Rattus norvegicus: one gene and its partner. The protein of the gene in region 1 interacts with the protein of each later gene in a pairwise test. Links are inferred from orthologs where the notes say so. Each region holds a gene or a part of one and is shown on either strand. Other genes may lie near its edges. The genes, in order: Tox4 and Fndc3b.

Region 1 (11,991 bases):
AGTGCTACTACCTCGTCAGAACATCTGCTACACCCCTTGTAGAAGGAGTTTCTCATTTATAACCAGGCTTACAGCTCCAGGAAGCAGAATGAAGTCTTATGAATTTCGTTTTAAAATAACTTTATAAAGTGAAGCTGACACGCAGAGGCAGGAGAATCAGGTTCAAGTCTATCTTTGGCTACACAGTGAGTCCACATGTCCTGGCCCACATGGGACCCTATCTTAAAAAAAAACCAAACAAACAAAAAAATTAAAAACAAACAAAAGAAAAACCAAAATAAGACTTACCTCAGGAACTACATCTGCAATCATTTCACAGATTGTCTCAGGAGAGGTTGCCTCTACTGTGTGGGCCTCGGGGCTGCTGTTCATAGGCTGCTCAGGGCTGCTTTCTACAGTTGGAGGGAGCACTGTAGCCTGCATTTTCAGAGCGGGTGGAGGCACGATCTTGCTCTGCAGAGGAGGCGGCTGCTGCTGTAGGTTGATTCTAACTTTCTGAGGTGGAGGCTGCTGCATGGCCTGAAGGGGAGGAGGTTGCTGGAGAATGGTGACTTGCTGTTGAGTTGGGGGCTGAGGCATCTGTTGCAATGGAGGAGGCTGCAGGCGGGGTGGAGGCAGTTGCATAGAAGCAGCGGCAGCTGCTGCTGCCTGCAACACTGACCGAGTGACAATCTGGGCCTGCTGGCTTGGCTGAATAGTAGCTGTACTTGTTTGGCCCAGCTGGAGCCCACGGGAGGTAACCACTGTGGCTGGGATAACAGTAACCATTCCTCCTTGAGACATGGTAATAGAAGAAGGCAACATTTGTTTGGTAATAATCAATTTGGTGATATTGGGCTGACCTCCAGGCCCAGAAGATGCCTGGTTTGCCACGTAAGATGAAAGCGTGGAATTAACTACAATGCAAGGGGACAAAGCAGGGGACTCCGTTGAGGCTGGTGCTGGAGATGCTGGGTCAGCAGTAGTCACAGGAGGTGGTGAAGGAGTCTGTGACTGTGGCACAGGATCCAATTCCACTGTTTCCACAGTAGCCTAAAAAAAAAAAAAGATCAAAACAAAAAGGCAGCAAGTAATTTACTCTCCACTGTAGCGCACATTCATTCTCATCACAACATGAAAAATTATCATGGAAAAATATTTTAAGTAAACACTGGAAATAATGGATAAACTAAAAGTGATTGTGCGTGTGTGTGTATGAATGATTTACCTGTAACAATTAGAAAAAAAGTAATTGCCTTAAGGCATGTATTTATTGTAACCTTACCTGACACTCCTGGTTGTCTTTATAAGCAGCTAGTGCCTTGAGATACTCTTTCTTGGCAGCTTCAGTTTTCCGCTTGTACACCTACAGGAAAGAGTGTTTCAGATGAACCCCTGCTAAGTCTGGTAAGTGTATTGTCCATCAGGAACTCAGTTCAACCTCTCACGGAGGTGAACAGCTCCATGGTCATATAAAGTGTAAAACCATTTCCAATAATTTACTTAGCTCAACACTGCCCAACTCAGGAACGTTTCCCCTAGGACATGTGTAAGCTGTCGACGATGACCGCGAGAGTCCTTACCTCTTGTATGTCTCTTCTCACACCAAAGCTGAAGGCTGTTTTCCCTGTTACTGAATCTGGGCTATCTCTGTGACTTGTTTGATCATTAGAATGTTAGATGTCTATGAATTTGAGGCCAGCCTGGTCTACAAAGCCAATTCCAGGACAGCCAGGATCCCACAGAAGCCCTGTCTTAAAAAACAAAACGCCCCAAAGCCACACGAAAGGCTACAAGGAATAACAACACAGCAACTAACAGATGGACGGAAGTATCTGCCAGCTCTAGCCAGCCACACTCCATCGTCTGCTTAAAACAAAGTCAGCCTTCTGTTTAGATATTGAGGATTTGCTTTGACAGAAGATACAGGCACAGAGGGTAATGATAATTACAGCTATCTTCAGTTTACATGCCTTGATGATTCATACCCTCAACCCCCGTCAACACACATACTCCACAAGCTAGCCTCGAAACTCATGATCCTCTCTCTGCCTCTGCCTCTGCCTCTGCCTCCTAAGTGCTAGAACCACAGCAGTTTCTCTTTCCTAAAGGCTAAAGAGATGGTGTATATGTGTCTCAGTGTTGTTGACGCCAAATAGCTATTCGACCCTGCCCTCCCCTCCCAAGTACAACTGGGACTACATGCATATGCCACTATTACCAGTTGATTTTTTTAAAATTCTGTTTGAATCTAGGGAACACACACACACACACACACACACACACACACACACACACACACACACACAAGGACACAAGGGAAAACACACACACAGTTTTCAAGCTTACACTTGATGAGAATACCATTAATGAAACTATACCTGAAACTTTGAGGGACAGTTTCAACGTGTAACTTACCAAGAAATATCTTAACTTTACAAATAGAAAAAACACAAGGCTTTGGAAAGTTAGCCTAAAAACTGAACAGTTAAAGACAGAAGAGCAGAAGAGAAATCAGGCACTACTGGATGTTATGTGGAATTTCAAGTTAAGGGGACAAGGCTGCCCAACTGTACCATTTAGAAGCTCTATGACCTTAACTGGGCAGAGAACCTCAGAACCCCTCTTTATATCTTTTCCTTCCTTCCTTCCTTCCTTCCTTCCTTCTCTCTTTTTTTTTCTTCTTTTTGAGACAGGGTTTCTCTGTGTAGCCGTGGCTGTCCTGGAACTTACTCTGTAGAGCAGGCTAGTTCAAACTCAAAAGGTCTGCTTGCCTCTGCCTCCTGAGATTAAAAGCATGCATCACCATACCTGGCAGAATTCACCATTAGTAAAAGGAGAATTATTTTACAGCTTTGGAAAGATGCAGTATTTTCATAATGAAATTTTATTAGTTACTTATTCTGTGTGTACATGCGTATGCTCTTGGGTATGCATGTAGAGATTAGAGGACAAGGTAATTCTTCCCTTTCACCATGAAGAATATTGGGTTCAAGATCATCAGATGCCTTTACACAGTGGGTGCCAATTTGCAGTCCCACGTACAGTTGGGATTTTTAGGGTAGAGATTTAGCTCAGGAAGAGAACAGACACTTAGCATGTATAAAGCCTTGGGTTTGTTATCCAGCACAACAACAATAACCAAATTAAAATGATTTTTTTTCCTGAATCTTCTAAGATAAAATGTGTGAGCCAGGCAGTGGTGACTTACAACTTCAATCCCAGCACTCAGGAGGTAGAGGCAGGTGGACCTCTATTTTAAGCTAGCCTGCTCTACAGAGTGAATTCCAGGACAGCTAGGGCTATACAGAGAAACCCTGTATGGAAAACAAATGTGTTTATGCCATTAACAAAGAGCCCTCTGACAGGTAAAGATGTGTGGTAGTTTGAATCAAGAATGGCCCTCATGGGCTGGAGAGATGGCTCAATGGTTAAGAGCACTGACTGCTCTTCCAGAGGTCCTGAGTTCAATTCCCAGCAACCACGTGGTGGCTCACAACCATCTGTAATAAGATCCATGCTCTCTTCTAGTGTCCACTGAAGATAGCAACAGTGTACACACATAAATCTTAAAAATAAATTAATCTTAAAAAAAAATTGTCGTGTCCCCCCCCCCCCCCCCCCCCCCCGCCACTTGAATGCTCACTTAGCCACCAGAGACTTGCACTGCTTGAGTAAGACTGGGCAGTGTGGCCTGTTGGAGGGAGCATGTCACTGGAAGTGGGCACTGAGGTTCTAAAGGCCAAGCTGGGCCCACTGTCCCTGTTTCTGCTGACAGCAGATCAGGATGTAGAACTCTCAGCTACTTCTATGCTGCATGCTCCATGATGAGAATGGACTAAACCTCCGAAACCATAAGCAAGCCCCAATTAAATGCTTTCTTTTACACGAGTTTTCTCATGGGCCGAAGGGATAGCTCAGTGGTTGAGAGCACTAACTGTTCTTCCAGCGGTCCTGAGTTCAATTCCCAGCAACCACATGGTGGCTCACAACCATCTGTAAAGAGATCTGATGCCCTCTTCTGGTGTATCTGAAGACAGCTACAGTATACTTATATATAATAAATGAATAAATCTTAAAAAAAAAAACCAAAGTGGGCTGGAGAAATGGTTCAGAGGTTAAGAGCACTGGCTGCTCTTCCAGAGGTCCTGAGTTCAATTCCCAGCAACCACATGGTGGCTCACAACCATCTGTAATGGGATCCAATGCCCTCTTGTGGCTCCCAGGTGTACATGCAGATAGAGTACTCATACATAAAATGATTAAATAAAAAATAGTTGCTGTGATCATGATGTCTCCACACGAACAGAGTACTGAATAAGGTTCTGTCCACTTAAAGATGTTTACTACCCACAATTCACCTGTTTTTGCTCTTCTCCAAGACTGTCCCACATGGAAGCCACAATCTTGGAAACCTCCCCAAAGGTTGCATTTGGGTTCTGTCCCTTGATGGCTGCCTGAGTATCTCGGAAGAACAGTGCATACGCAGAGACTGGCTTTTGAGGTTCATTAGGGTCTTTCTTTTTTCTCTTCTTGGGAGCCTTTTGCTTTTTCCCTGTTTCCACTACCACTGTCTTCTGGGCAGGAAGTTGCTGTCGGAGAAAAATGGAGAGAATTAAAAGTCAGCAGAAGGGGCTGGGGATTTAGCTCAGTGGTAGAGCGCTTGCCTAGGAAGCGCAAGGCCCTGGGTTCGGTCCCCAGCTCCGAAAAAAAGAACCAAAAAAAAAAAAAAAAAAGTCAGCAGAAGGGAAGAACTGGGTCTGGAGACCTTTAAGAAAAGGGTTTGGGGGGCTGGAGAGATGGCTCAACGGTTAAGAGCACCCGACTGCTCTTCCAGAGGTCATGAGTTCAATTCCCAGCAACCACATGGTGGCTCACAACCATCTGTAAAGAGATCCGATGCCCTCTTCTGGTGTATCTGAAGACAGCTACAGTGTACTTATATATAATAAATAAATAAATCTTAAAAAAAAAAAAAAGGGTTTGATAGGAGCAAACTATGCTGGAGATGGCTCAGCAGTCGGGGGGTGGGGGTGAGCACACACAGCCGTGGCATCTAAGAGAAACGGAAGCCATGGTTCTGAACGTCCTACTTGAGGCTCACTAAGGACAGTGATTGAGATGGGAACCCAGAACCAAGGACAGATGACTGGCCTTTGCATGACAAGCATTTCCCTAGAGTAACAGAAATTACTTTGGCAGGGAAGGCCTCACCCTCCGGAAATCATCAACACCATCCTCATGAAGTGAATTGGTAGGTGAAGGAGTAGTTGAAAGACGATCCTCAGGTGACTGGGCGGGTGGCAAGATGGTGCCACCTCCTAAACTCAAACCAAGTTGAGAACTCAGTTCTGACTGATCAATAGTGGTCAACTGGCTGTGTCCCATTAAGCCAGATGTCATGTCTGTCATCGGTACATCAATTGTAACAGGTGGGTTGGCACTATACTGAGTTCCTATGGAATGGTCCAGGTCCTGAGAGAAGCAGAAGGACTAATTAAACGCTAAGTATTAAAATACAATGTCCCCTCCTTATAAATCCCTGGGCTTATGTAGACTCTCATCATTTAAATCCTACAGAACAGGAGATAATCTGTCTGCATAAAAAACATGTTAGGGGCCAGGCTTGGCGTTACCGGCCCTGAACTCCAACACTGGGAGATAAGAGCCAGATGGTGAAAGCTCTGAGTGTGAGGGGCTAAACCCACTTGTATTTCTGAAATAACAGTTCTTGAAGTTGTAATGCATGGGCAATGACAGCAGAGAAGCTGAAGTGGAGACAGATGTCTGTTATCAAACAATAAGATGGAGACGTGCTACTGACGAACTGCTGGATACCCTAAAAGTTTATATTAGAGTCTACAACTGCTATATTTGGTTCAGCCCATTTTTTAATAAATCACTCAATGCGACACTTACACATTAGAATTCCAGAATATGAAGGCTATTACGAAAAACAAAACCCTTTTAAAACTTAAATAATTTTCATTACAGAATATCCAACATTGGATATTTTACAATTTAAAATTATTTTTTTCAAGAAAATCGCAATCAGGTAAAATGAAGTCTTTGTCGTTCAGTCTTTAGCTATAACACTAGGAAAGAGGTACCACCCATGTTTAGCAGGCAATAGGGATTAACTTTTGTCTTCCTTAAACCACTCCTATGAGCTTGGGTGAGCTTACCCCTCTGTTACTTCTTACCATAGTCAAGCCCCCACTCAGGAGCCCCCCGCCCTGCTCCATCAGGCCATGGGTCATGCCCACAGGCATGTCCAATGTCTGGACCCCGTATTGAGCTGAGAAGCTGCCATCCTGGGAAGAGGAGGGGTCTGCCAGGTCATCAAAGTGGCCAACCACATCTGAAACAGCCAGTGAGGGATCAGAGTCCAAGGAGATAGGTGGGATTTCAAATTCCTCATCGCCCAAGCTTGGTGTATGGAATGTCTGCATGAAAAAATGGGGAAAGAATTAGTAGGAAGAGGAGAAATACATCACTTTGTAACAAGATTCCGTAGACCACGGTTTACAAATAAAGCTCTTTTTAACCTTCAGATCTGTGGCCATGTCATACACCTGAGAATCCAACACCATTCACAATGGTCATTTATTTCCTCTCTTCAGCCTTTGCTAGCTTTGTCTTAAATTACTTCTCCTATTCTAGTAAAGTCAGCACAAAGAAGGAAACCGTCTACGATGCTTAATATCCACTACCGATGCTAACAGACGCCAGTTATTTCACAATGGTTACAACTTTAGACCACAGAAATTCGCTGTTCACCAACCAATCACTTTGTTGTTCTAGGGTTCATTTAGAGCAAATCCTAAAAGATAAAGCCATGGAAAACTTACCTACTCTGAAATATTTGCACTGAAGAGTTTCTTAGGACCTTACCATTATTTCAGTGTTAGCAACACAATTCTTAGTACATGATAATAAAAAGAGGATGGATATGAGCTACAGAGTGAAGTGAGGCCAGCACGCCTCACTCAACACAGTAAGACCCTGTTTAAAAAACCAAAAGGTAAACAAGGAGGAAAGATTAGTGCACCTGGCTAAAGACTGGTCCCTTCCTAAGTCAGACTATAAAATCAATCCTTTCTAGGTTTTGGGTTTGTTCCACTCTACCCTCTTTTTCTCTCCTCTCTCTACCCGCTCCTTCCTTCCTTCCTTCCTTTCTTTCACTTATTTATTTATGTTTAGTTTTTGTTTTTTGAGACAAAGTTTCTCTGTATCTTTGTATCTCTTTGTTCTTTGAGACAAAGTCTCTGTAGATAGCCTTAGCTATCTCAGGACTCATTTTGTACACTAGGCTGTCCTCAAATTTACAGAGATCCTCCAGCCTCTGTCTCCCTAGTGCTGGGATTAAAAGCATGTCCCATGACACCCAGGTTCTTTTAAAGACCTTGTCTTAAATGACAAGCTTCTTGACTGCTGGAATTATAATTCGTGTCATTACACCCAACTTCACCCCTATTCTGAATGGGGTCACTATTCCCAGAACTAACAGCAAATATACTACGATATATTAGACAGTTTCCTTGTGGCACTAAAAAACGGAAACAGAAGCATTTGGAGCAATAAAATGTTTTAAGTAACAAGCAAGAGGCTTTGTAGAAAGAGCTGTGGCTCACCAAGCTCATGACCTTGAACAGGTTTTCCTTATCTATAAAAATAGAGCCTATGGTCTGAACAATGTTGCACACTGGTTTTAGCCTGCAAGAGACGGAGCCAGGGAGGTGACCATGAGTTTCCACCCAGACAGGGCTGTATAGTTTGTTTCAAGCCATCCTGTGAAAGACCCTATCTCAAGAAAACAAAACCAAGCTGAGTGTGGCAGCACATACCTTTAGTCCTAGCACTCCAGGGGCAATGCCCTTAGTCTAAATGTTCCTAGACTCTGGGCTTCTTTGAGGGAAAAGCCAGTTTGAGGATTACATTTATAAGAAAGATGCCAAGGAGCTAGTGAGATAGCTCACTGGGTAAGGTGCATGCCACTATGCCTACCAACGTGAGTTCAATCCCTGGTCCTTAATGGGAGAGGGAGGGAGAGAGATGATGGGGGCGGGGGAGAGAGAGAGAGAGAGAGAGAGAGAGAGAGAGAGAGAGAGAGAGAGAGCACGTGCGCGTGCGCTCACCTGCCCTCCACCCCTCATCCCCCTTCAGGACATGTGAACACATATGTAGTAAGTAAATAAAATAAAATGCTATTAAAAATAAAAATAAAGATGATTATTGGTTGAAGGAAGGCAGAAGAGATGACAACAGTTGAGAACGTTTGCTGCTCTAGAAAAGGACACAGACTCAGTTTCAGCACCCGCTCTGCTCACAACTATCTTTAACTCTAACTCCAGGAGATCAGATGCCTTCTGTCCTCTGCATGCACACTTAGACACACAAAGCATGAAAACTAGCATTCCTCCCCTCTCCTCATCCTACCTCCTGGTGCTTCTCTATCCTCCTCCCTTTGTCTGGAGGCTCAAACTCGGAATCTTCCCATTACTAAGCAAAAACCCTTAAACTGACCTATATCCCAGTTATCTATTATTTTAAAGAATAGTTTCTTAGAGCTTCGTGGTTTAGAGCATTTGCTGCTCTTCCAGAAGACCAAGAAATGGATTCCCAGCACCCACATGGTGGCTTACAATGTGTATAAATGCAGACCCAGAGGAATCTCTTGCCCTCTTCTGACCTCCACGGGCACCAGGCACATGGTGCACAGACATAGATGCAGGCACAACACCCATACACATAAAACCTCCCCAGCCCCTATAATTATGTATTTGATATAAGTTCTTTTTTTTTTTTTCTTTTTTCTTTTTTTCGGAGCTGGGGACCGAACCCAGGGCCTTGCGCTTCCTAGGTAAGCGCTCTACCACTGAGCTAAATCCCCAGCCCCTTGATATAAGTTCTTAACTGGAACACAGCCAATTTTTTTCTATTATTTTATGCTCCATAGGGGCATTTTCTTTCTGATAATATAAAAACAAAAACCAAACAAACTTGAAAAATGACTGTTCTTCAGAAAGAATTGCTTTAAAAGGATCATCTATTTTTTAACTTGTCTGTGATGGCTCAAAATAAGGCTGGAAACACAAAACCCATACATTCATTAGCATAGAGGTTAAAAGCCAGGCATGGCGGTATATATTTTAATCCCAGGACTCAGGAAGAGAGGCAAATGAAGGCCAGCCTAGTCACACAGCAAGTTTGCTGTCAGCCAAGTGAAACAATTCCCCCTAAACAAAACGAAAACAAAGTTTAAAAATTCACTGAGAGGCAGAAACAAGTAGGTGGACAAGTTGTAAGCAACAAGAACAGAGTCCAGGCCTAAAGGAGGCTACTGAAATGGAGCTTAAAACTCAGCTGCATGTCCTCTCTTCTCAACAGAAACGTCACAAGCCGTAACAAAACAAAACAAAGGGCAGGAACAAGCCTGGAAAATCCTTCCTTTTTCTGCCAGTGCTGGATCAAGGGTCCAGCACACAGTAGGCCAGTGCTTCTCTCCCTAGTCCCTGGATGTTAAAAGTGCCATCACTCACTTTCCTATTCCCTTCTCTGCCTTTATAAAAATAAATGATTTGTGCAACTTGTAAAAAAAAAAAAAAAAAGTGCCATCACTCATGGAGTTAGTCTTTGATCAACTTCAGACACAAGACTAGTAGGAAAAATTGGAAAGCTGTGTTCACTTTTTTTCCCTTTTCGGAGACATGGTCTCTCTATGTAATTCTGGAACTTAAAGAGATACACACATGCTTCTGCCTCCCGAATGCTGGGATTACAATTATGGATGTGTAACACTACACCCAGCCTTGTATTTACTTTTAAAATGTACTTTCCTATAAATAAGGACAGTGTGACTTACAGCACTCCAAACAATGAAATTAGACCATAGAAGACCTCTTGGAAGGAACTCGAAATAAAATCACCAAGTGCAAGACTCAGTTTCTTTTCTAACTTTGCCATTCATTTGTGCCATCCCTTTGTTTAGGAAAATATTCAATAATAATAAGTTGAAAAAATAAACCAGCAGCCAGGAGAGCACACCTTTAATCCCAGAAAAGAGTTCTGTTTTGAATGGGAAGAATTCTTTACTGGAAAGGCAGAAGCAGGAGGATTTCTTTGAGTTTGAGGTCAGCCTGGCCTATATAGTGAGTTTCAGGACAGCCAGAGCTATGTAAGACTGTCTTTTATAAAAAAAAAAAAAAAAAAAAAAAAAACAACAACAACAAAAACAACCCAAAAGCAAACTAGCAATTACTTACTGTCAATCATCTCTCAACCATAGGATAAACCTACACAAAGGCAATGGACAACTACTTTTGGTGCAAAAAAACATACAAATGAATTCACAGCACTTTGGGGGGGGTAGTATATAATCCTCAAAAGAAGGACCCTGGCTCAAGTTCTCAAAAAATGGGAAAATTTCATACACTGCACCTTTTTTTTTTTTTTTCCCCAGAGCTGGGGACCGAACCCAGGGCCTTGTGCTTGCTAGGCAAGCGCTCTACCACTGAGCTAAATCCCCAACCCCACACTGCACCTTTTATACACTTTCATACACTGCTTGCCCAAATAAGTGTTATTATGCTTATAGTAGGAGAATCTGTCAACCAAAAGTTTTTCAGAATATCTTAGAGAAGTGGCTCTCAACGTTCCTAATGCTGCATGGACCCTTTACCACAGTTCTTCATGCTGTGGTGACCCCCAACCATAAAATTATTGTCGTTGCTATTTCATAACCATAAGTTTGCTACTATTATGAATCATAAAGTAAGCATGTTTTCCCATGGTCTTAGGCGACCCTTGTTGAAGGCCTTAGAACCTCTGACAACCATTATTTTCTACTTTACACCATCTTTAAAAAGCAAAACAAAACAAACAAACCCTCTTATTATGGTCATTTGACAACTGTAATCCAAAGGGGGAAGTAATCAGTTTGTGAAGAGAAACAGGAAACTGGGAAACAAGTGCTCTCTACTCCTTTTATGTTCTCTAGCAGCTATCTCTTTCCCTCGGTCCTTCCATAGCAAAGCAAACAGAAGCCACGTCAGTTAAGGTTAACCACTTCGATCAGAGAAGACCTTTCAAATGAAAGAGACCAACATAGAGTTCAAGAATTAACAACTGTCCGAGGTTAATCCCTGCTAGATAAACTACTTTCTATATCTTGATTTCTTTACTGAAAAAAATTTTTTTTCTTGCTGTCTCCCAAGACTGTTAATTATTTCACCCCAACCAAAGAACAATTCCATTCGTTCTTTCTACTCGGAACAGAGAAACTCTTTAAGGAAATAGGCTGTTTTTTCAACATCCTGGTTTTCTGATGACAGCCGCTTTCCGTTCTTCCCCCGTCCACAGTCCTTAGAGGTGCTCGAAGCCTCGGACACTGTCCCCCTTCAGCTCCCGCCAGCCCCCGCGCTCACCTCACCGTCCACCCCAACCGCTGCCTAGGCCCTCCGGCGCCCCAGCATCAGCAGCTTTTGCTCACCTCGGCCCCTGACAGGAAAGGGTGCGAGGGCCCAGTGATCGTCAGGTAATTGTCATTTCCTCCGGGAAACTGTAAACCAAAAGAAAGCCGCGGGGATAAGTGAGCGGAGTAGGGGCGTGCTGAGACTCCAGTCCTCCCAGCACTCCCGAGCCCCCCTCGCTCCTCAGCATTCTCGCTTCTGCTTCCACCAGTCGGCCACGAACCCTCATTAACCCTCCAGACTTAGCCCCTACCTCCATCTTCACAACACCACCACCAGCGTCTCAGCGACTCCGCGTCCGCATCGCTCCCACCGCCCCCACTAAGTTCCGAGAGCGTCACTTCCTCAAGGAGTAGCGTCGCTCTCCGGTGATTGGACCGAGTCAAGGGACGCAACCAGTCGCTAGCCGAGCTGCCCGAAGGTCGCTGTCGCCCCCTGGAGCTTGGTGGGATAATGGCATGTAGAAGAGCATGGGGCGGCCCTAGAGGCGGTGTCCTGGATTCGGGATCCGGCGAAGATTTCTGGGGAGAGCAATAGAGAC
Region 2 (11,991 bases), on another chromosome or scaffold:
CTAAGGATTCCTCGTCTTCTCCCCACTCCAACCTGAACTCGGAGATGTCAGCACCAGGGCTTTCAGGGCTCTGCAGGGCAGACGTCTGTAGTTAGTCATTTCACTGAGATGAGAGCACCATACTCCAGGATAGACCAGTACCCATAAAGGGAAGGTAAGACCACTCTGAACTCTGACCACTTCCACAACGGGAAATGACACAACCAACTGTCAAAACGAGATTTTCTTGTATACAGACAAAAGTCGCATGAACACACGTATACACGCATGCAGCCATGCACATGCACACACATGCTTTGGCTTTGTGACATCCTAACAGCTTATATTTGGGGGCAAAGGCAGGAGAAACAGAAATGACGGGCAGCAGACTCACCTCCCAACCCACCAGGACGCATCCATCAGGCGTGAAGGAAACACACGGTGCCCTGCACTGCCCAGGCGGTCCTGCGGCAGTGGTGATCTCTGACACATCAGAGTAGGGACCATACTGAAAGAGAAGAACACGTGCTCACATGTCAGAACGGTCTCTGCATGTGTGTGCATATAAAGGCACAATTAAAGGTAAGGTCAATAGTATCATTAACGCAACTGAATGAAAATAGCTAATGTTTTTTACGTTAAGAAGTATATGGACAAACTACTGATCTTTCCTGGACAGGTAAACATCTATTATATATGTCTGTTTTTTTATTAAAAAAGATGAAGAAGTTAGCACACTTTTCCTTTAATGAGACATCAGGAGTAAGGATCACTCAGTCAAGGACATGAAGAAAGCTAGTTATTACATCATGGCATCATGGGCGTTTGCTCTGGTTGCTGGCCTCCCCTACCCTCCACCAGTACTTTGAGGTAAGGTCTTCCCATGTAGCCTAGGTTAGCCTTGTACCTACGGTGTTCCTGCATCAGTGTCCTGACGCTGGGGTTTACAGAGAGGCCCACCAGATCTAGCTAACCGACGCTGCTATGACAGATTGTCAGAATGTCCTTGGGCCTCACGTGCTTTTTCTTTAGATTGTCAATTGGCTTTTTTCTTCTTTAAAAGTAAGTTTCATCCTTAGTGAAATGTAACAGCTCTCATGATATTCATCTATGCACTCACTGAGGCTCTAGGAGATGTTGGCATTAGCTTGTCCCACCTTTCTGCCCATCTCTGCACTCTTCGTGGGCAGCCTGTTCCTCATCTTCACCCCCTCATATCCCATAAAGCCATATCACTCTGCTACTTCAAAGAAAACAAAAGTCAGTTCCTCTGTGGACCACATACTTCCTCTTAACTTTTGATCTGACCCCCAAATACTAAATGAACAAGACAGCAGAAGAAAGAACCAGAGAACCATGGGGTTTTTAGAGGAATCAGATTTTAAAAAAGTAAGCAGCCTCCTCCCCAGGCTTCGCCGTACTTGTTTAGAACAAAGCATCCTCAGGCATAGACAATATGCTATAATACTCAAAGGTTGTGTGCACACAGGAACACGTACCTGAGGAGGGCAGGCGACAATCTGTTTCCCAGTCCCTTTCCCCCTCTTTTCCTGAGACCAGGCTGGAGCTCATGTAGTAGGCCCAGTAGGCCCAGCAATCCTGTCTCTGCCTTCACAGTGCTGGGGTTTCTGTGGGACTCCCCATGCCTAGCTTTTAAAGATGTGGGTTTTGAGCTCTAACTCATATACGGCAAGTGTTTCCTGACTCACTCTGCCCAGTTCCCCTGGGGAATGTTTAGCAGGACTAATCAGAAGCTCTGATTCTTACAAATGAAGTTACTAAGAATAGGAAATTCTTTCATGATTTATCAAAAATGCTCACAGACACACAGAGATACATACAGACACACACAGGTACACACACAGACAGACAGACAGACAGACAGACAGACAGACACACACACACACACACACACACTTCATAGAAAGAACGAGAGACAAACTTGGCAGTGCTGGGCCCACAGAGCAGCGTGATACCAGCGATTCGCAGATGAGGGTTTTGTTTTATCTACTTGGACAGTGGTCAGGCAGTGACACTCACACCGCTGAGGAGTTGCACCTTGTGCTCTAACTGGCAGCCGAGGCACACTCACCCCTCCGTCATTCAGAGCCCGCACTCTGAAGCGGTACACCGTCCCGGGAAGCAGGTTGCCAACGGTGCACTCCAGCTCGGGCCCGTGGTACACCTCTGAGGCTACCTCCTCAGGTTCCGTCATTTCTACACTGTACTCTGAGACCTCGCAGCCACCTTCAGACGCAGGCACATCTGAGGACAAAAACATTTTCATCTTTGAACACTTTTTTGGATTTTTTAATTTTATTTTTATTCAGGTATGAGTGCTTGGGCATGCATGAGTGTGCACCATGTGTAGAGGCAGAAGAAGGCCCGGAAGCCTCGGAGCCCGGAGTTAAAGGTGGTGAGAGACCACGCGGTCGCTGGGGACTGGAGTTAAAGGTGGTGAGAGACCACGCGGTCGCTGGGGACTGGAGTTAAAGGTGGTGAGAGACACCACGCGGTCGCTGGGGACTGGAGTTAAAGGTGGAGTGAGACCATGTGGTCGCTGGGGACTGGAGTTAAAGGTGGTGAGAGACACCACGCGGTCGACACCACGCGGTCGCTGGGGACTGAACCTGCTTCTCTGCTGCAGCAGCAGCGAGTGCTCTAACCCCGGACCCTTCTCTCCAGCCCCAGTGCTGGATTCCTACTTGACTGAGTTACATTTGGTTTTCTACTGTTATTGTTCAAAATATTTAAGTGACGTGTCCCTGAGTTTCTATTACAAAAGGAGCCTCCTGTTTAAGTGAAAAGGCTCCTGAATGATTCGAAGGACCCAAAGTAAATGCATCTAAACATGCCTGATTATATTACAAATAATTCAGGGACAACAGGAGAACCAGACAACCTTTCACAGTTAATAATGGGGAGGAAGGAAAGAAAAATATCTGTAACTTGAAGTCACACATCCTGCTAAGTCTACACGACCTCAAACTCACACACCATTTTATTACACTTTAGATGTAAGTGTGGCCACAATGTCTGCCCGTGTTCTACACATGTGCACTTGCGATGTGCACACTGGTAGGCTGTTGGCACAACTGAAGTGGTGTTAAGGCAAGGCTAGGAAAATACCAGAGCCCGCAGAGAGTAGGAGCTTGATGCTGCTCTTCGAAACATTTCTTGGTTTAATCTCTAAATTAGACACATTTTCTTTACATGTTGAACAACCCCCAGACAGGCAGGCTACTCTGGAATTTTCTCTACAAACATGGCTGCTAATGGTGAGGGTGGCCACAGCAAGTGCAGCACTGTCAGGCATGGAAGATGAGCCTAGAAGGCTGTGGGATGAGAGAGCCACAGTCCATGCTATAGAGAACATGATCAATGGGTGACACAGCTTCTGAACGAAGCCTTGGAGCTGAGTGGCAGAGCGCCATCAGTCTCCCACTGTCCAGGTCGATGCCAACGTGAAGATTTGTTCACTCACCCCACTCTAAGTGGACTTCTTTGTGCTTTGGTCTACCCAAAACCCTCGGTGGTCGGCACTGACCTGGTGCAAGGCTTAGTGTGCGAACAGGGAGACTTTCAGAGCACTGTGGGAGAAACACCGGAGAGACCATTGCTTAGTTACTGTGAATCGCTCACACCTTATCTACCAGGCTAATTCTATCCCACAATTGTGAATGGGACCAAAGGGAACTACACACTAGTGTGTGTGCTGACATGCATTAAGGTCTTCAGGAGGGCCCACGCCTGTCTGCATGTGGAAGTGTGGGCTCTCAGTGCACATAGTGGTGGTTATACCTAAGGCAGCTCTCTCTGATGTCAGATTACTAGAGCCGACTATTTGCCTGCCATAAGCATTCTTATTTTCCTTTACAGCAACATTAGAAAGACCCTCATGAGGATTCAAGAGAACACACAACAACCGGACAGAATTAAGAATGATACTCTAAATGGCTGGGCAGCCACAGGGAGAGCAGAACAGCAGGTAAAGGGGGCATTTACCCACTGAGCCTGGCTCTTAAAGCAGATCTGCCAATGCTAAAGTGACTGGGCCTCCTTTTTGTAGGATCTTACTCTGCAGAAACTGGTGGGGTGAAAGTTGACCATTGTAAGAGAATCGAGGAAACAAGATGGAGCCAGACAGCGCCAGCTCCTTCCAGGGCACCATGTGTGGGAAATAGACCGTATGTCCCCACCTGATGCATATGCTGCCCTGCCCAACCATGCACAGGCAGGTACCACTGATGCACTATGGCCTCAGTCTGCATCTACTCCAACAGGGAGACATTCCACCAGCCCCCGGGACTCTATACATTTTCTAACTGATTCTATATGTGTTCTAATTGGACTCTTATCCTGTATGTGCGCGTGCGCGTGCATGTGTGTGTCTTTCTGTCTAGACGAAACTCTAGACACTGAGGAACTGCTATGACACACATGGGCAGAATGCTTGTGTATGTGTAAAATTCAGGAAAATGTTATCAATCTGCTACTGGCTTACTAGGTACCATCTCTCTTTCTTGTTCTCTCACCATTAATGGTTTCAAATTGTCTACAGTGAAAACAACACTTCTAGCACAGTACCTCTCTCACGATGTCAATAAGACCCCCAGACTCTCGTCTCTAGAGTACTTTGTGTGCACTGATTAGATTACATCAAACCTGTTAGCATTGCGTGTGGCATAAACCGAGTCCCTGGAGTGCCACCTGGCTGGTCTACAGCCATTCTGACAGAGACAAGTCATGGCTGCTGCCTCCTGGCCCTGCACAGGGAGTTACTGAACTGCAGAAGTGCAAGCAACTTCATCAGATTTATCCTGTCTTTACAAGAGTCTCCCAGCAGGTGGCAGTAAGGGACCTTCACAGATGCGGTACCATCCCAGTACAGCCAGGCAGGTCTGATCCTGACTCTAAATTCACTTTTCCCTCCTTGAAATGATGGAGAGCTCCTTTATTTGGTTAATGCAAATCCTAACTAATTTCACCTGCCCTACGTAACTACATCAAGGTCATGGAAGGGTTAAGTCAGTGACACATGGCCTGTTCACATCAGAATGTGCAGAGAAGGGTTCAGGCCTATGTTTCTTATATCCCTGTAAGTCGAGACTTTTTCACAGCCAGATGAGATACTAAAGCTGGCCACATCAACGAGAAACATTTAAAACTGCAACCTCTTCTGCATTACTGACGGACACTTCCCACTTTGATCTAGATTTCCATTGTCACACTGATAAACCCACCTGACTGTGCCCACCGGTACCGATGCAGCATGCTCGCAGTTTGTACAAAGTGCCTGGTTTCAAATGGGTAAAGACATACTCTGTAGCTGATCCACTGTAGGCCACTTCCCACTGACCAGCTGCAAAATGAGATGTGTATAAGTTTAGGCCTTTTGTAACAGCACGAGAGTCCCTGTTAGAGACAGCATCTGAGACAAAAACACCAAGGGGCTTCCACAGCAGCCCGGCATCACCCGACACAGAATCGCACAGAGGCATTTCCTATAGTCCACTATAACACCATTGGCTTCGAAGTCAGGTGTGGGAAGCCACATCCCATCGGAGTTGTACAAAGATCATGTTGCACAGCTGTGCTCAGCCATGCTGAGGTGGCCACGGGGCCAGCTATGCAGCAGGTGCCTCTGAGGGTGGCCATGAGTCCCTTTACAGACAGAGGTCTTTGGTAAGGGCTTGCTGTGTCTAGGGAGGCCATGCATGAAGCTGTGGTGGGGGTGAGAGACCAGTGGTGAGATACTTGGAGGGTGCCCCCGGAGGCTGACGCTCAGTGGGAGAAGCGCCTGGAGGCTGTCCTCCACTGCCCGCATCAGCAGCAGGCTGCAGGGGTGACTCTCACTGTTTAGCTCCCATTGATGCCATTTCCAGTTGACCACTCCCTGTAAGCCTTTTCCTACAAGAGCTGTTTGAGGGGAAATATGCCCACCCTATCCTATTCATAGAGTAACCTCCACAAATCCCTTCAGCGGCCTGTTAGACATTTATTACTGCCCTGTGGTACTGTGCCTTATTAGGTCCCAGTTAGTATAGAGCCCACGGGAACCGGGAATTCTGGCCAGGCTATCAGTGTAAAACAGCAGCTACTCCTGCACTGAGTCACTGCCTGGGAGAGCCAGGGCAGCGGAAAGCGGACTTTCACTTTCTCAGTAAGCAACTGGGGGTGCTGACTCCTCTCCTCGTCTTAATTAGACATTAAATACGGTCTCTAGTACAGAAACTGATTTTATGTTAAGAACAGCTACACCCATCTCAAAGAATTCTCCTCTTTCTGGTGTAAAATAATACCTAACAGGGTTAAAAACAACCCTACCTCCAGGTGGCCGTGGGGTCAGAACAAGCTAGAGACAATTTCCACTTGTTCCCAGTGACTCTCTCTTTTGCCATATGCATGCACTTTAAAAAAAAAGTAATGATTACAGAAGCCATATTAGTAAAAATTTAGTTATGTTGGAAAGTTTTGACCACCATATATTTTTATGTTGAAGCCCAATGAGTTTTTAGGAAGAAAAAGCAAGAGAAATTTCTATGGGCCCTGAAGTTTTTCTTCCCTTACTCCACCCCGTTTGAATTACTGCTGCATGTGTGGTGAGGGTGCATGTGCACAGTCATGTATGTTGCGGCACACGGGTCTGGGAGCTGGTTCTCTCTACTCACTTTCACTCGGGATTCAGGGATTCAACACAGGCCATTACACTTGCTGGCAAGCCCCATCTTAATACTTGTAGTATGACAATTGATGAGAACTCTGACTCCAGAGTCACAACAGAGCCCAAGTGTGTTCTGGAAGTCTGACACACGTCCGGGGCCACACTATGATGTGGCTGTCACTGGGCAGGGCCAGGATGCCAGGCAGATGACTGCTGACACACTGCTGGTAATTCCCAGATAGTGTGTGGCATTCAGGGGGAGGCCTCAAGTTCATTTTCTCTATTAATGAGTGACCATTGTTTCAAAATGAACATAGAAAATAGAAACAAAAACAGAAACAAACACTAGCTTGTCAAAAATGGGTACTTCAAGCAGAATGAACTGTGGTGTCTGAAAGACAAAACCCTACTTAGGGGCAGAGTTGGCTGTAGAGAGCTTGCTGAGGATGCTTAAGAAGGGAAACTAGCTGCCAATCAAACTCCAGTTAGATGGAGGGAGGGAGGGAGGGAGGGAGGGATGGAGGGAGGGAGGGAGGGAGGGAGGGAGGGAGGGAGGGAGGGAGGGAAATAGGCAGAAGGAGAGATAGACAGATATGCCAATGCTTGGTGTGGCTTAACTACACCACTAGCTCTACTGTTAGAACTAATGGCTGCTGCAGCTACTGCAGAGGGCCTGACCATGTCAGGATGAGGACTCTGGGTGGGAAGGCATTGTGTAATACAGTTTCCAAAGTGTCACCTTCAGAAGCACCGTCCGTGATCTCCAGCAGATACTTCAGGATTTCTGAGCCACCGTTGTCCTTTGGAGCATCTGCAGAGTAGGTGAACATTAGTGAGGAGGGCACTGGGTGTCACTGGTAAGCATCCTTACAGAGTGCAAAAGGACAGCCACTAATCAGCCTTCCACTGGAAGTGGGCCAAAAAGCACAACTCATCATTTTCAAGAACCCTGCCCCTTAAAGTTTTTTCCTGAGACAGCATTGCTCTCTCAGGTTGGCCTCAAAGTTTTGGGAATGCTCCTGTGTCAGTACCCCACCCTGACCCCAGTACCGAGATTACAGGTATGACTCCCCCCAACTGGCCCCCTCAATGTCAAGAAACGGAATTTTATCAAGCTGCTATTTCAGGTTATTGAAATAAGAGTTGGCACTGACTTAGTGAAACACGCATAAAACTTGACAGGAGGAATGATTTTCCTAAAAATGGCAACTCTGGAGAAATCTGAAGTGGCTCTTTAAGAATGGGCGACTTTTATGGAAAATTGAAATATTCAGGTATTTATCTTGTTTTATTATTCTTACTTCATATGTTTATGAGCAACTAGATGCTTTTGAAAAAGGGTAGAGAAGGGTTGGGGATTTAGCTCAGTGATAGAGCACTTGCCTAGCAAGCGCAAGGCCCTGGGTTCAGTCTCCAGCTCCGAAAAAAAAAAAAAAAAAAAAGAAAAAGGGTAGAGAAAAAATGCACTGACAAAATAATTAAATGTTGGAATGGAGTAACCATCTTACCTCACTTCTCTACCCAGCAAACTTTACCTCCCCAGGTCTGGATGCAGAACACAGTAATCAGCACCTGCACCGGGCACCCTGGGGGGACAGCCTGGTCTGCTTGCAGAGCCCCATGCCACCTTGGATCAATGGTCTACAGACACGTCTAACTGCAAGGGCTTTGCTTTGTGAGTATACAAATACCAGGCAGAATGATTTTTGTCAAACTAAAGAATTCATCGTCCTTGCACACGGAGGGGGCTTTCCCAGGCCTTGATGTTACATGGATTTGTGGAGCTCTCTTCCCAGGTGGGCATTTATCACACACACTTCAGTAATAACATGTACAGTAGTCGTGATAAGGACAAACCCAGCACAGAGCTAAGGGGGCTCCTGGGAGGCAGGCAGCCAGGGCGGACCCCAGGCAGCCCGGACAGCCTATCCCTGTCCTCCAGAGAAACCGACGTCAGAGCCCTCTGGAACCTCAGCACAGCACACTTGGTCTCCAAGGAAGAGCGATGCTTTACTGTGCCCTGCGCTCAGTCCCTTACGACTCTGACACTTCCTGCTTTGCCCTTCCCTTGCTACTCATTCATATCCTCACAGGACATCAGTGCAGAGCACACGTGTCCCAACAGCTTTACACATGATTAAAAGTGCTACAACCGCGGTGACATGCGTCTCCATGCTCTGCAGAGCTGAATGTCAGTGTCCTCCCAGGTGACCTCAGTCGGGCTGAAAACCCTGAAACTCACGAGTAGAGGAGGGGGCAGGGGGCAGGTGCACTGCAGGCAGCACAGAAATAACGTCTCCTATTTTATTATAACTGAAACATTTTGTATATTTAAAAAAAATCTATTCAGGATTACATATCTAGATTTGAAATCCAATCTCAACTTAAAAATATTTTATATTAAAATTCATTGTTTTTTTAAAAGTGAGCTATTAAGGAATGAATTATCATAAATTCTCAAACTCAAATTAACAAAACATTTAAAATAAAGGAGAAAAATGTAACATAGAAAATATGAAATAAAAGAGATACAAATATAAGCCTGGGGTACAAGCAGGGAGGTTGAGGCAAGAGGACAGTAACTCTGAAACTGGTCCCTTAAGAGGTCTACTAAAGTCTGACTACCTGCTAATATTCAGCTGTCCCCTCCAGTCCTCACACATGTATAACAGATGCACAAAGCCCTCAGAGGTGATATTTTCTACTTGTGTTTGATTTGTCACGGCCATAGCAGGGCAGGAGACAGACATACCCCACTTGACACTGAAGCCATGCGACGTGACGGGTCCTTTGAGGAGGGGTCTGGTGGGAGGTCCAGGTCTGTCGGGGCTGGTTGTACAAACCAGGACTTCACTCGGACAGCTCTTCCCTTCCGTATTAGAAGCAGTCAGCTGCAGAGGAGACGTTAGCACATGTTGGTTATGGGCTATCATGTCTCCTGGGACTTGGGACCACTGCCAAGTTAGACATGGACAGACTGACACATATCCACCCAGTCACGTGTGTGCTTTCTTTAGGCTGCTGATTTAAGTGTTTGTGATTACTTCATCTACTTATATTTGATTATTAACAATTAAAAATAAAACCAAAAGGTAGGTTTCAGCTAAAGACATCTGCATATCCTTCCAAGAACAAATATAAGCCTAGGGTACAAGCAGGGAGGTTGAGGCAAGAGGATGGTAACTCTGAAGCCTATGGCTTTAGGCTATGCAGCAAGTTCTAGGAACTCCTGGAATAGAGGGGGACAGTGCTTCACTAGAGGAAGAGGAGGGAGGAGGAAGAAGAGGAAGAGGAGGGGAGGGGGAGGATGAGGAGGAGGAGATGGCCGCTGCAGTGGTACTATATATAGAACCAGTAGTTTCCATTTATTCTGTGCTGTGTGCTGAAAAGAAAACACAGGGATAAACCAGACAGAACTTTATTTATGGAAGAGTCAGATAGTGCCATCTTGTGGACACCATCAGTAGTACAGCTAGCTGTGTTCCAGGAGCCAAGATTGGTATTTTTAGCATAGCAAGAAACAATTATATGCCTCAAATAGTCAGTCACAACATTCCACTTGATAATTTGACAAATACTGAAGTGACTACATGCCAAATTAAATTACTTAGCCCTAAAATTAGAGAAAGGAGGGCGGAGACTCCTCAGGGCACACAAGGAAATTGGGTGCCGTGCATAGGACAGACGAAGGACTGTGGTGTAGAAGGAAAAGCATTGAGAGCAAAGCAAAGCAGCAGCTTGCACTTCTGTAGCTGCAACATAGATCTGTACTGTGATGTAAGTGGTGACTGGTTATGAGCAAAGGTCGCCTAAGCCAGCAGCTCTCAACTATGGGTCACAGCCCTTTTGGGAGTCGAATGCCCCTTCTGCAGGGGCTGCCTAAGACCATCAGAAAGTGCGTAAGAGGAGCAAAATCACAGTTATGAAGTAGCAGTGGGAGTGACTTTATGGTTGGGGTATTAAAGGGTCACAGCATCAGGAAGGCTGAGAACCTCAGCTGAGGAAGGGATGGGACACAGAAGACAAAAGCAGCAACAGGAGCAGAAAGGCCGGAGGGCGCTGGAAAGACAGTACAAGCTGTAAAACCCAGGGAGGGGCGGATCTGCAGTGGGTGCAGGGACACAGGCATCAGCTCAGGGTCTTCCCAGCGGTGCACAGATCCTTGCTATGACAACCCGTTGTGACATCTTCTTACACGGGTTTCCGCCTAGAACCTCTATTTCCAAATTAAAATATGGTGGGTCTTTGATAGTGCACTGCTACTCTCAAAGTGCTGTCTATTTTATCCCCCCTTTTGGCCTGCAGACTCCATTTGAACCGTAAGTGGGGACATCACAGTGTTGGCGCTAGCGCTCACACAGGAAGACTCACCCTGAATTTATACTGTGTGCTGCGCTTGAGGTTTTTCACAGTACAGGTTAGGTCCTCTCCAGTGTATCTTGGGTGGAAATGGTTATCCTGGAAAGACCAAACCAGAGAGAGACATTAGAACCCTAACATCAGGGCCTTGATTCCTAGGAGCCCGGGACTTTATATGGTGGCTTCCTCCTCAGCAGGAGTCTGGCAGCCACTGCTGAGAGAGTATCAGAGGCCCTTGGCATGCGCAGCATCCAAAGCTCAGTGCGCTGTCACCTGTCACACTGCAGCCGTCACCTGTCACACTGCAGTTCAGCCTGGCTCTGGTCAACTGTGCTATGACAAAGTCGACAGCACTGTAAACATTTTATTTAACAATAAATTTGTCACCAGCAAGCCAGTTGATTGGGAAGCTGACACATTGCCAACAACAGTGCAACAGGGGACAGGCGGGCTCCTGAGCTCATGGTGCCCCCTTCTGGCTAAGGGAGAAGAGCTTGGATGGGGAAGGACATATTCCTTTCAGGGTAGACCTTACCAATACAGGTGAGCACACAAATTCATTCTATAGTACTCTTTTCTCTGTCTTGCTCCCTACCCCCTCCCTCCCTCCCTCTCTTCCCCCTCCTTCCAGCTCTGGCAATCATCTGTGCATCAGGCTCCTCCCAGGCTCAAGAGAACGATCCCTGCTAAAAGGTGTTCAGAGCCTGGTCCACAGGATTTTACACATTAGCTGAAGAGTCGATTTAAGAGGGAAAACCCTACACATAAACGGAAGGCATGCCGTGCGGTGCTGCAGGCTGGGAAGGCATACGGGGTAGACACAGGCTGCTGGAGCTCCTGAGGTGTTGCTACGGCAGCATGAGTTGATGAAGTATGGTAGCCACGTGAGGCTCTCGGGATTCAAACTTAATCAGTTAAAAACTCAGCTCTGTGGGTCAGTGGCTCACAGTCACACATCCAGCATAAACCGTAGACAGTTCTACCACTGC

Evidence for each region.
Region 2: the proteins of Tox4 (region 1) and Fndc3b interact in binary tests that used the Homo sapiens proteins (3 or more experiments, as listed by UniProt). The two-hybrid records come from large-scale screens. The link is inferred for Rattus norvegicus from reciprocal best matches to the Homo sapiens genes TOX4 and FNDC3B.

Annotation. Positions count from the first base shown.
Region 1 is NC_086033.1:27,462,509-27,474,499, reverse strand, and holds the start of Tox4 (TOX high mobility group box family member 4), read right to left. Parts: upstream 11,766-11,991; 5' UTR 11,710-11,765; coding exon 11,704-11,709; intron 11,540-11,703; coding exon 11,471-11,539; intron 6,426-11,470; coding exon 6,183-6,425; intron 5,455-6,182; coding exon 5,194-5,454; intron 4,572-5,193; coding exon 4,341-4,571; intron 1,346-4,340; coding exon 1,265-1,345; intron 1,033-1,264; coding exon 289-1,032; intron 1-288. UniProt on the Homo sapiens protein: Transcription factor that modulates cell fate reprogramming from the somatic state to the pluripotent and neuronal fate. In liver, controls the expression of hormone-regulated gluconeogenic genes such as G6PC1 and PCK1.
Region 2 is NC_086020.1:112,277,229-112,289,219, forward strand, and holds part of Fndc3b (fibronectin type III domain-containing protein 3B), read right to left. Parts: intron 11,102-11,991; coding exon 11,015-11,101; intron 9,535-11,014; coding exon 9,396-9,534; intron 7,455-9,395; coding exon 7,383-7,454; intron 5,342-7,382; coding exon 5,223-5,341; intron 3,570-5,222; coding exon 3,464-3,569; intron 2,245-3,463; coding exon 2,072-2,244; intron 488-2,071; coding exon 374-487; intron 71-373; coding exon 1-70. UniProt on the Homo sapiens protein: May be a positive regulator of adipogenesis.